2 linked regions of the Drosophila melanogaster genome follow. The protein of the gene in region 2 interacts with the protein of the main gene of each other region in a pairwise test. Each region holds a gene or a part of one and is shown on either strand. Other genes may lie near its edges. The genes, in order: kmr and Trpm.

The links.
Region 1: the proteins of Trpm (region 2) and kmr interact in a two-hybrid assay, tested with the Drosophila melanogaster proteins (one large-scale study listed by BioGRID).

The regions. Positions count from the first base shown.
Region 1 is NT_033777.3:13,713,315-13,718,458, reverse strand, and holds the start of kmr (kramer), read right to left. Parts: upstream 3,253-5,144; 5' UTR 2,640-3,252; intron 1,006-2,639; exon of another isoform or gene 927-1,005; coding exon of another isoform or gene 420-926; exon of another isoform or gene 411-419; intron 348-410; exon of another isoform or gene 283-347; intron 1-282. Other genes in the region: Ubc87F (ubiquitin conjugating enzyme 87F), read left to right, coding at 420-926.
Region 2 is NT_033778.4:15,306,268-15,311,492, forward strand, and holds the start of Trpm (transient receptor potential cation channel, subfamily M), read right to left. Parts: upstream 3,102-5,225; 5' UTR 2,929-3,101; intron 2,731-2,928; exon of another isoform or gene 2,575-2,730; intron 1,032-2,574; 5' UTR 611-1,031; intron 1-610. Other genes in the region: CG8152 (uncharacterized protein), read right to left, coding at 3,773-4,783. UniProt on the Drosophila melanogaster protein: Calcium channel mediating constitutive calcium ion entry.

The sequences.
Region 1 (5,144 bases), on a different chromosome or scaffold from region 2:
AATGGAAACTTTCAAGTCGCTTTCAAGATGATTTCTATGGAGATAGTTTCTATACTCCATCTCCATTCAAAGGGCTACAATTGCAATGAGATTGCAGCCAGACATTCCAAAAGGAATTGATCTTTTGTGGCTCTTAGGCTTTTTATCTTAGAAATGTCGATGGAATCCCGTTAATGTATAGTTAAGAACTTACATTTTTATACCATGATAAACCATGATCGTGATTATAGATCGAAGTAGTCGCAGCATGAGTTTTCTCTCGGCAAGCTGACAGGTCGCATTGAGCGTAGTTCAGCCTCCGTAGAAGTAAACCAGAAAGTGACTCGAAACAATTGAACAAAATTCCAGTAAGTACAAATGTGATTGTACTTAAATGGCTTATCCCACTGATGGTGCTTATCCCCCCCAAGTCCAGTGACATGTCCGAACTGCAAGCATCGCTACTGCTCAATCGCCAGCTCTCCGAATTACAACGCCATCCCGTCGAGGGCTTCTCCGCCGGTCTGGTCAGCGACTCCGACATCTTCAAATGGGAGGTGGTGATCATCGGTCCCCCAGATACGCTATACGAGGGCGGCTTCTTCAAGGCTCACCTGATCTTCCCCAAAGAGTACCCACTGCGCCCGCCCAAGATGAAGTTCATCACCGAAATCTGGCATCCCAATATTGACAAGGCCGGCGACGTTTGCATCTCGATCCTCCACGAACCTGGTGACGATAAGTGGGGCTACGAGAAGGCCGAGGAGCGCTGGCTACCGGTCCACACCGTGGAGACGATCCTTCTTTCCGTTATCTCCATGCTCACCGATCCCAATGACGAGTCGGCCGCCAATGTGGATGCGGCCAAGGAGTACCGGGAGAATTATGCGGAATTCAAGCGCAAGGTCACCAGGTGCGTCCGCCGTAGTCAGGAGGAGGTGGAATAGACCGGATAGACTGGGCAGTGACATGATGATCAGGAACGGCACACATGCTAATCACGTGAATAAAGAGAGCAACTAGTGGAAATCTCGCACTTTGAAGTGTCGAAAGTGGGGAGAATATCTCCTAATTGGAGCCTCCAATTAGGGCATTTCAATCTCTTTGAGCTTGCGCCAATTCAGTGACACCTGTCGGCATTAATTACACTTAATCGCTTTGGAGCTACGGGTATTACCTCCTGGCATAGGCCGATCTTAAGCCAGTGTGCTTAATAGGCTTAGACCTCTTCTAGTTGCACACTGACACAGTTATGGACGTTCTCTGTGGTTGCTCTGTGGCTTCCAGAGGAAAGCTGAGGCAGCTGGCCACTTGGCCGCTTTTTATGGTCTTCACATGGCGACAAAAATTTACACATGCACTGAGCCAAATTCCAGAGAAGGGGCTCAGCATTTCTCTTCATTTGGCTACACTTTATGGTCAATAAAAGGACCATAATGTGGTCTGATTTAGAAGTGAATTGGCTTTTAAAATGTTAACATTATGTCCGTTCCTTGAGCACCTTTTTTCCAGTGCAGCAACAACAAATTGCCGATGTTGCTGTTGCTCTTGGTGTTGCTGCTGTTGGTTGTTGGTGTTGCTGTTGGTTGTTGCTGGTGGCGAATGGCCAGTAGTGTGAGCCAGCAACATCAGAAAATGGCTCCATACACCGACTTGTTTTGGTGAGTGGAGTGTAGTGGAGTGCGGCGGAGCTCCTGGGCAACGAGTCTAGAGTTTAGCTGCCAGCATTTTTGTGGTTAGCTGAACTTGTTTTTGCTTTTGCTGTAATTGTTGTTTATTAGCAACAAGTTTTGCATTTTTGATTTTTTCTCTTTTGCCCAAGCCAGCGTGGCCCCACAGCACTTCGCCGCATGTCGCATTGTTTGGCCGTGAGTCAATTCCGGAGCGGGATACTAGCTCATTCGCCACGGACTGGGTGTGACTCTCAAATAAAATCCCAATCGCAATTCCACACAGTGACTGTCTGGCTAAAAGATTCAAATGATCCCCGTGTGATTCAGCAAATACCTCAAAACAAAGCCCAAAACAGAATAAGCAGAAATCGGTGAGCGATTTGGAAACTGGGTAAATAAGGCCATGCACCTTCAATCGGCAAAAAGCAAAATCATAAAAAAAAAAAAGTGGAAAAAATCTTGGCGGCAATAAGCCACAGCATCATGATCACCACGACGATCGGGCAAATAGTAAAAAACGAAAACGAAACGAAAGAAAACAAAGCGAGGGAAAAGAAAACGGCCCGAAGAAACCAGCTCTCTTCAGAAATCTTCAGCGAAGAAGATGCTCGACCTGGAGATGGAGATTCTTCTGTGAGTTAAAAACTCACTCAGCCAGTAGAAATTGAATTGATGGCTGGGCTGGGCTGGGGGATATATGGGTATGGAAAACCGGATTTGAGCCTGGGCCCCAAAACGCAGGGTATCTAGATTTATAAATAGCCGCACAGCTTTCCGATATATGGACTATATGGTATGCGCTGGTGCAGTGAAATCTCCTCTGGCGGCTAATGGGAAAACCAGGGTCAATCCAAAAACAGGTAGTTCGGAATCATTAGGTTTTATGGTGAGGGTGGAAAAACGCAGCTGGTCAAGTGTGTGAGTGTTTGCTTCGCGTCTCTTGTTTTTCTCGAGAAGAAACCCCGATTTACAAGCGATTTTACCTACCCTGTAGTTTTCGGTTCCAAAATCCAATGGGTCCCGCTCGATGTTAACTGGTATGGGTGCGTGTTGCATACGTGTTAAGTAAATTCCAATATGTGGTCTGGACTGCCTCACGTATCTTGCAGATACTTGGGCACAGCGATACTGGTTTTTTGGGATTTCGTAAAGTTGCCCGCTAGTAAACGAATGATAATGATGGTGTCGATGATGCGCCGATGCGATGATGAGTAATCCCGGCAAAAAAGGGTAAACACTAGCACTTTACATCTACTCGTAGAATGTACATCACTTCTTTTTTTTTTCCTCTTTTTCGTCGTACGGTTAGTGCAAAACCTTTACACGCTCGATGGTTTTGTCAGCCATAAAACATTGCCGCGAGACGAATCACAAAAAAACATTATATGTACATACGTACATATATACAACTGAAAAACTACCTGACGCGCAGCGTGCGCCATAAAACTAAAGACAAACACTGAAATGAACTGAGCTCTTGTTGGCGTTGTTGTTGTTGTTGTTTTTGTAATATTTTATAACGCGGTCCGCTCGCGTTTATCGCTCTCTTTCGCTCGCACTCGGACACGTCCACCTGCGTCGCCGTCTCAAAGTAAACTAAACCCAACTACGTTGAAAACAAGTTTTCGAAATGCTGCTAATGTTGCTGGCCGGCTTCTTGGCAACATTTCAAGTGGCAGCGAGATAAACAACACGCACACACACCGACACACGCGAGTGCAAACATTGCAATGTTGCTCGCACGGCAGCAACACGCAACATGTTGCCGGCGTGGTACAGCGCGGGCGTTTGTTGTTGCCGGCTTTTTGGCTGGTCGTTGGCACTGCCCCACACTCCCAATTTTCCATTTTGACTAGGGTAGTTCGGACTGCTCTCCAGATAGCATCTGCTGCAGGGGTATATTGCGTTTCGGTGGTTTTTTCATAGGTGTGGGTGGTTTATTAAATTTGCGTTTCAACGAGAAATAACGTCGATGCCCTCAATGTTTGTTTAATTCATTAGTGATTGGACAGCTCGCAAACTTTTCCCTTTTCACATTTTAAAACGATGCTATTAAGTGCAGTGGACAAAAGTACTCAAGGAAAACTAACAAAACAAGTGATTGCCCGCAGGAAAGTGATAAATTGGTAAATCGATGAAATTACCAAAAAGAAGCTGCACATAAAACAACGCCATTCATTCAGAAATTCAGAAATTCTATATCAAGAGAAATCTCTGGAATATTCTTGGTATCTATTATATATGGTATAAATGTTTTAGTTTGAATAAAGGTACACAGTATGTCTTAAGTCTTAACTTTTTTATATAAATTTATCCATCGAGGATATTTACAAATAGCTGTGTACAATAGTTTTTCCTTTTTTTCATATTTCTACAGTACCAAACTAGTCGAGTTAGGCTCTTAAGTTTACAAAGTTGTTATTTTCCAAGCAGTGCTACATCCGTTTCGTATTTACACTGAACGAACACAATGAATGCGCTTATTTGTCCCTCCTTCCAGTTCCCTCGAGATAAAGCCGCCTGCCTGGCGCTAAATATTTGATGAAGCTGCAAAAGGCGGACGAGACGACAGGCGGAATAGATACGAGCGCCAGATACTGGATAGCAGATACAGATACATTTGCACGCCCAGATGGATTGGATGGCGATGGCCTGCTGCATAGACAAGCTGTCTGCTAGTATGCTAGTATGTACGTCAGTTGTAGCTTTCCCGCTTTTCATTTCCCAAATGCAAAATGGATGTTCATCTTGGACATGTTTGCTCTCGACTGTCAAATGCTCGGCAAAGTGGGCGTTTATGGGTCGCTCGTTGGTGGAGGGGGGATCGGTGGCAGGTCAGAGGTTATGATGGTTTCGTACCTCTTGTCATTTACCTCATTTGCACTTGAGAATTTATTTCGGCCTGCTCTGGGCTACGAATGTCGTATTTACTTATTTACACTGACCTCTCCCACATGCACTCAGAAAAATGTCAAGTACTCATATCAAAAAGTAATAATAAAATAATATTATATAATTAAATTTGATTAAACTATTTGTATTTCGTTTTATAATACAACAAAATACAGAAATGTTATGTAAGACACTGGTTAAGAATATTCATTTCACACTTTTCAACAATAGCAATAGATTAAATTCATGCCAAGTGTATTTAGCATACTTCATTGCATTTTCTTGCAGTGCATTTCGTAGCCAACCAGTTGTTGCTGTTGACTTTGCCATCGTTTATCTTATCTGAGGAGATGTCGTCGCCGGATGATGATAGTAGAGACAACGCCTTTGCATTTGTCTTTACCTCAATGCGCCGCATGCCACCCCCAACACACCTCCAGTGCGCCCAGTATCCATTATCCATGGCATATGTATGAATTGCTGGTGTGGCTGTTGGGCACATGTCTTGGCATTTCCATTTCCATTTGCATTTTCAACAATTGTCAATTGTGGAGGACGCACTGCAGCATTGCGCCGGCAATGGCAAGGGACATTTGCATA
Region 2 (5,225 bases):
TTTGCGAGCTTGCCAACAAACTTCAGGCCTAATTTTTGTTAATTTTTTGCCTTTCGTCCTGCCACTGACACACTCACAGCCAGAGGCGTCGCTTGAGGGGATGGAGATTTTGGGCAACAATTTATGCCGAAAGTTTTCGCAAATTGCTCATTTCAAGCACCGTTTGGTATGCAACACCTTCGCGATATTAGAAAATTCCTGCAGGTGAGAGATTTATGCCAACCATCGTCCTGCCAATTACACACACTCGTACATCTCAACAATATTTGCATTCCACTTGGAAATCTTAAAGATAGAAAAATTGTGCGCCTATTTAGGAATTTAAAGCGCTTAGATATTTTAACCTTCAAAGGTACATGCAACGCAGTAAGACAATTAAATAATTACAAATAATTTCCATGACTAATCTTTATATTATTAGATTTAAACCGATATTAAGTATTAAAATGGAATGAAAATCATTAATTTATTTACTATCTAATGTCCCATAATTTTCACTCCATATTTAAACTTTTTTCTTTAAATTGATTCGGTGTGAATAGGATATGCTTTTGCACAAACGCTCACTAAAGTCCTGCAAAGTAATTTGCATTTATCTCGACGGTCTTACCTGGGAAAACACTTAGTAGAGTCGGAAAACGCGGCCAGATGGAAAACGCTGGAGCAGAAATACTTGTCTCTCCGTATACTTGATGCTGAATGAGGGAAAATGCGGATGCTGCTGTTGTTGGTGCTGTTGCTCTGGGGGCTCCTGAATATTGGATCAAGCATGCTTAAATTTGTTTTTCAAGTTCATGCGTTTTGTATTGCTCATTTCGATATTGTTGTTTATAATTGTTGTAATTGCTTTAATGGTTATTATGTCGGTCTCCGCAAAATTTTGTTGGCTGGGTATTGCGTAAACAATCGAAGGGTATACGCGATGAATTTCAGGTGTTTGGCAATTAGGAATTTTCACATAATATAATATCCGAGTGTTTGTTTAGTTCGTTTGATTGCAATTCACTTTAACTACTACCAGATATTTGGCTCTAGTTAGGGGGCAAAAAGCCAAATGGAAATTAAAGGGCCCTCAAAAAGCCGAGCTACTCTTCCCCAGAATGGAAAAATGGACTACTTATGCCATTGGCATTGCCATTGCGCTCAGGCAATGACCCGGAAGTTTTGGCATTTCATTTATCTCATTTCTGTGCTCTTCGGGCCGCCTCTCTTGGTTTATTTTACAATAATAAACATTTAGCATTTTCATTTCGGCTCTTGTGCATTTGTTTGGTTTACGATTTTAAAGATTTACGAGATTTTTTTCCACCCAAGCACTGAAGTAAATGGGATTCGCTTGGCCTTGTGCTGCTCATTCAGTTGAACTTCTACACAGAACCTCCAATTGTTATTATACTGGCTGGATTATTGTGATAAAACTAAGAAAAACAGTGTAGTTTTGTCAAAAAAATATTAAAGTCTCAGCTTTTTAATAACTAAAACATTTGCATATTTATTATGTAAACAATATTTCAGTTCTACGAAAAACATAATGGCAACTATTGAATATATTTGATGACTCTCAGCCCATTTTACTTTTGAATAGTGTAAATTTTGCAAGCATATAATACATTCGCAGCATTCCAGGGAATCGTTGAGATAATAAAAATATTCTATTCCGTTTTTTCTGGTTTCTTTCGCCCCACCCTCGCCTCACTTGACTGGTTATAGCATTGTGTTGTCTAAATAATAGAATCGAATGGGGTTAATGGGAAAGAAATGCCGTGTAAGGTCCGGTCCAGAGGCGGGACAATATTAGAGGGGAACTTTTTTTTAAATATACTACCCCCCATGTAGATCATGTATGAAATCAAAGAAGTCAATGGTGTCATTGAAATCGGTTCCTTCCAAGCCTTACATTTTCACTGTCACAAAAACTGTTTATAGTAAATCATGTATAAGATCTGAAATCCAAAAGAAATAGTTTCTGTTGCACCAAAGGGATAATCTTTATCCCAAAACTTGAATTATTTTACAGTTTATGGATAATAGCTTGCTATATCTCTTAAGCAGTACAAAAGTTAATGCCTCAATGGATTGATTTTTTTTTAAGGGTACTACTCTCCCCAAGATTCACGATTTAGATCCGCCCCTGGTAGACCCCAACAACAAAGCAAGTTCATGAGGGGGCCCTGATCGAAGGGGAGAGAGGTGGGGGTTGGAAAAATCGAGGGGATGCTGGCAATGTCGATCAATGAGCGAGAGGGCACCACATAAAGAGAAAGAGAGAGCGGAGCGGAGAGAACCGAATTATATGTACATTGTTCAATGCAAAACTAAACAAATCACCAAAATAAATGCTACGAAAATAAACCATAAAGCCCACTGAACATCAGAGCGCATATTAAACAATATAGTTTTTCTATTCCTGCAGAGTCCGTGGGAGTAAATGTGTTACGGCGATGACTTTGTAAGCGTTTTGTTATCACACACGATGCAATCACATGGCCACCCTATTTAGTTTAATTATTCAAAAATAATTGCACTTCTTGCCAGCTCTGCGTAATTTGAAACTGCGCGTTTTTTGGGGTTTACCGGGGAACGGGATACGGCTCACACGAATCACAAAAAAACACTGGTACACACACGATAACGGTTAAGCAGCAAAACGTCGACACAATTGTTAATTATTTTAAAAAATATTTAAATGCGCCAAGCGAACCGCACATGTTGGAGAACCAACAACAAATTGGAGCGACGCTCCGCCGCAAAAACGCTGTCACACACAAACACATACACACTCAGACCAATCAGCTGTTCTTGTTGATCGGCCGCCAGGGTTGCCACCGCATCAAAATTCGGAATTCAATCATTTGAATCTAGAAATTACTTTGCCGTCGAGCAACGGTTTTCCAGACACTTTAATGCTTCACTTTTTTAGCTGTTTACCTAAGGGAAACGACTGCTGTTGGTGACCTTGTGGGCGCACTCCCACTTTTTCACTTTTAATTGCCGAGCATGCGAGTAGAACTTTAAAACACGCACTGCTTACTTAGTTTTATTGCACTCCGCGGTATAAAAAGACGGGAACGACCTCACGGTACAACAGTCCGAATACGACTGAGCGCAGGAATTCGGAGAAGTTCCTTATATACCGTTTTCACTATTTTCTCTCTCAGAAATATTCCAATGTTCCAATTGGAAGTTTCGCAAATGTAAATTAACAGTCCAATGTTAAAAATTAACAGCTGTTGCAAACATAAAGCACTTTCCATCGGTTGTTTCTGTTTTTAGTGCTTACAAAAATAAATATATTTTCAATCACAAGGCCTAAATCCATCACATTTAAAATTAATAGTCATTCTTCAGGTGTGTACTATGTGTTTTTACTAATATGTTGCTTAATTTGTGCGTATAAACCTAACAATTTGTGTATTTAGCAAGTGATTCCCTCGTCCAACTTTCGAAACAAAATTTCAACTTTAAATAGAGTTTCAAAAAATTGTTTAAATTTTTAAGTAAGTGTGCTAGTCCATGTTGTTGTACTCAATAATTTCATATATAATTTATAATATAATTTGGGTACGGCTGAACATCAGTTGTTTTATTGGGTACCTCTTAAGAAGGAATAACTAATATTGTATTCCTTCTAATGAGAAATTTATAAATCTACTATTCATAAATCACCATTATTAATAATTAAATTTATTATTTTGCTCTTAAAAAACATCTTAGGCTGGCTCCATTTATAATTTATAGTACAATTCTTGTTAGCTTTCTCTGTAAGCCATCTTTAACTTAGTACCCTGCGGAGGTACCGTTCTCGCTTCCATTCGCGCACCTTTTCCCTCTGCATATCGCTTCGCGTCCTTCTCGGCTGATATATGGGATCCCTTCTCCTAACAGCGTTTAAATCGAAGGCACCAAAGTGGGAGACCCTTGCCGACTGCTGTTCAATTCCCAGTCCAGTGCGTTGCTTTCGAAGAACAGTCTTGACGGGATACAATCGCCCACTTTGACTCGGTCCCAATCCGTGCTCCTGGTCCCAGCCCTGTTTCACCATCAGCTGGAGTCCTCGATTTTTGGCAGATATGTTAAATTTGTGGAGCTTATGAGCGGGCAGAGCCTTTAGATTGAACTGATGCACTGTGGATGTTTGATGAATTGGCCAGGGGGTTTCTTTGTAGTCCCTCTTACAGATTTCACAGTAAAAGGGGTTGTTGCCATCAACTGACTCATCCTCTTCGCTAGTTTCCTCTAAAATGGGTAGGGATTCCAAAAGATGAACTACATCTAAGTGACCTTTTCGTTGGGCCAGTTTCAGAGCTGTGTTTCCGGATTTGTCTGAGGTCTCTACTTGGACCCCTCTCTGCACGAGCCAACTCACTGCCTCCGTGGCTCCTTCACAGGCAGCCATCATCAAGGCAGTCCAGCCAAAGGAATCCCGAGAATTTAAATCCTCTTCTGAGGCCTTCATTTGAGACAGCTCCTCTACTTTGTTGCTAGTGGCCAAACGGAAAAATTTGCTTTTGTCGAAGGGGACTAGGATCCTTTCTGGCTCTCTTCTTGTTTGTGCAGTTTTGTGGGTACTTGGAAGGTTAGGTTGGCAGGTTGTGGGCGCATCCAACACCTCCTTGTAGAACTCACGAGCTTCTGCTCCGTTTAAGCCATCGATTTGGTGCTTTACTGCTTTCGGGGACTCGGCGATAAAATCCGGATCTCCTGCTCGGACGAATCGCTTCAGTTGGAGTGGCAATGTTGTTAGAGCCAGCCAATTTGGATGCAATTCGTTTTGAGAATTCATTTTTGACAATAATGATGCTAACTCGTTTTGTAAATAAACATTTCGCAGATGTGCGTCAGAGCTGCGTAGTGCTCAAAAATATCGTTTGGAGATAAGTCGATAGCCAAACTAATCGAATATAGAGATGGTGATTTTAGGAGATAAAAAATGAATGACACTGTTGAAATTATTTAGTCAACACTGTCGGTCAAAAATCTATTAATACCGCTCTATGTGAAGTTTCTTAAGCTTCTTTTGCGTTCTTGAAAAAATAAATAATATAAAATACAAAAATAATATTAATTAAGTAATTATATTAAGTAATAAAAATAAAATTAAAGAAATCCCAGAGTCACTCAAAAATGAAATGAAAAATAAAAATTTTTATAAGGCTAGTAAACATTATTTTATTAACACTATCTTCGTTTAGGTGATAAATTGTCCCGATAAGCCGAAAGTATCG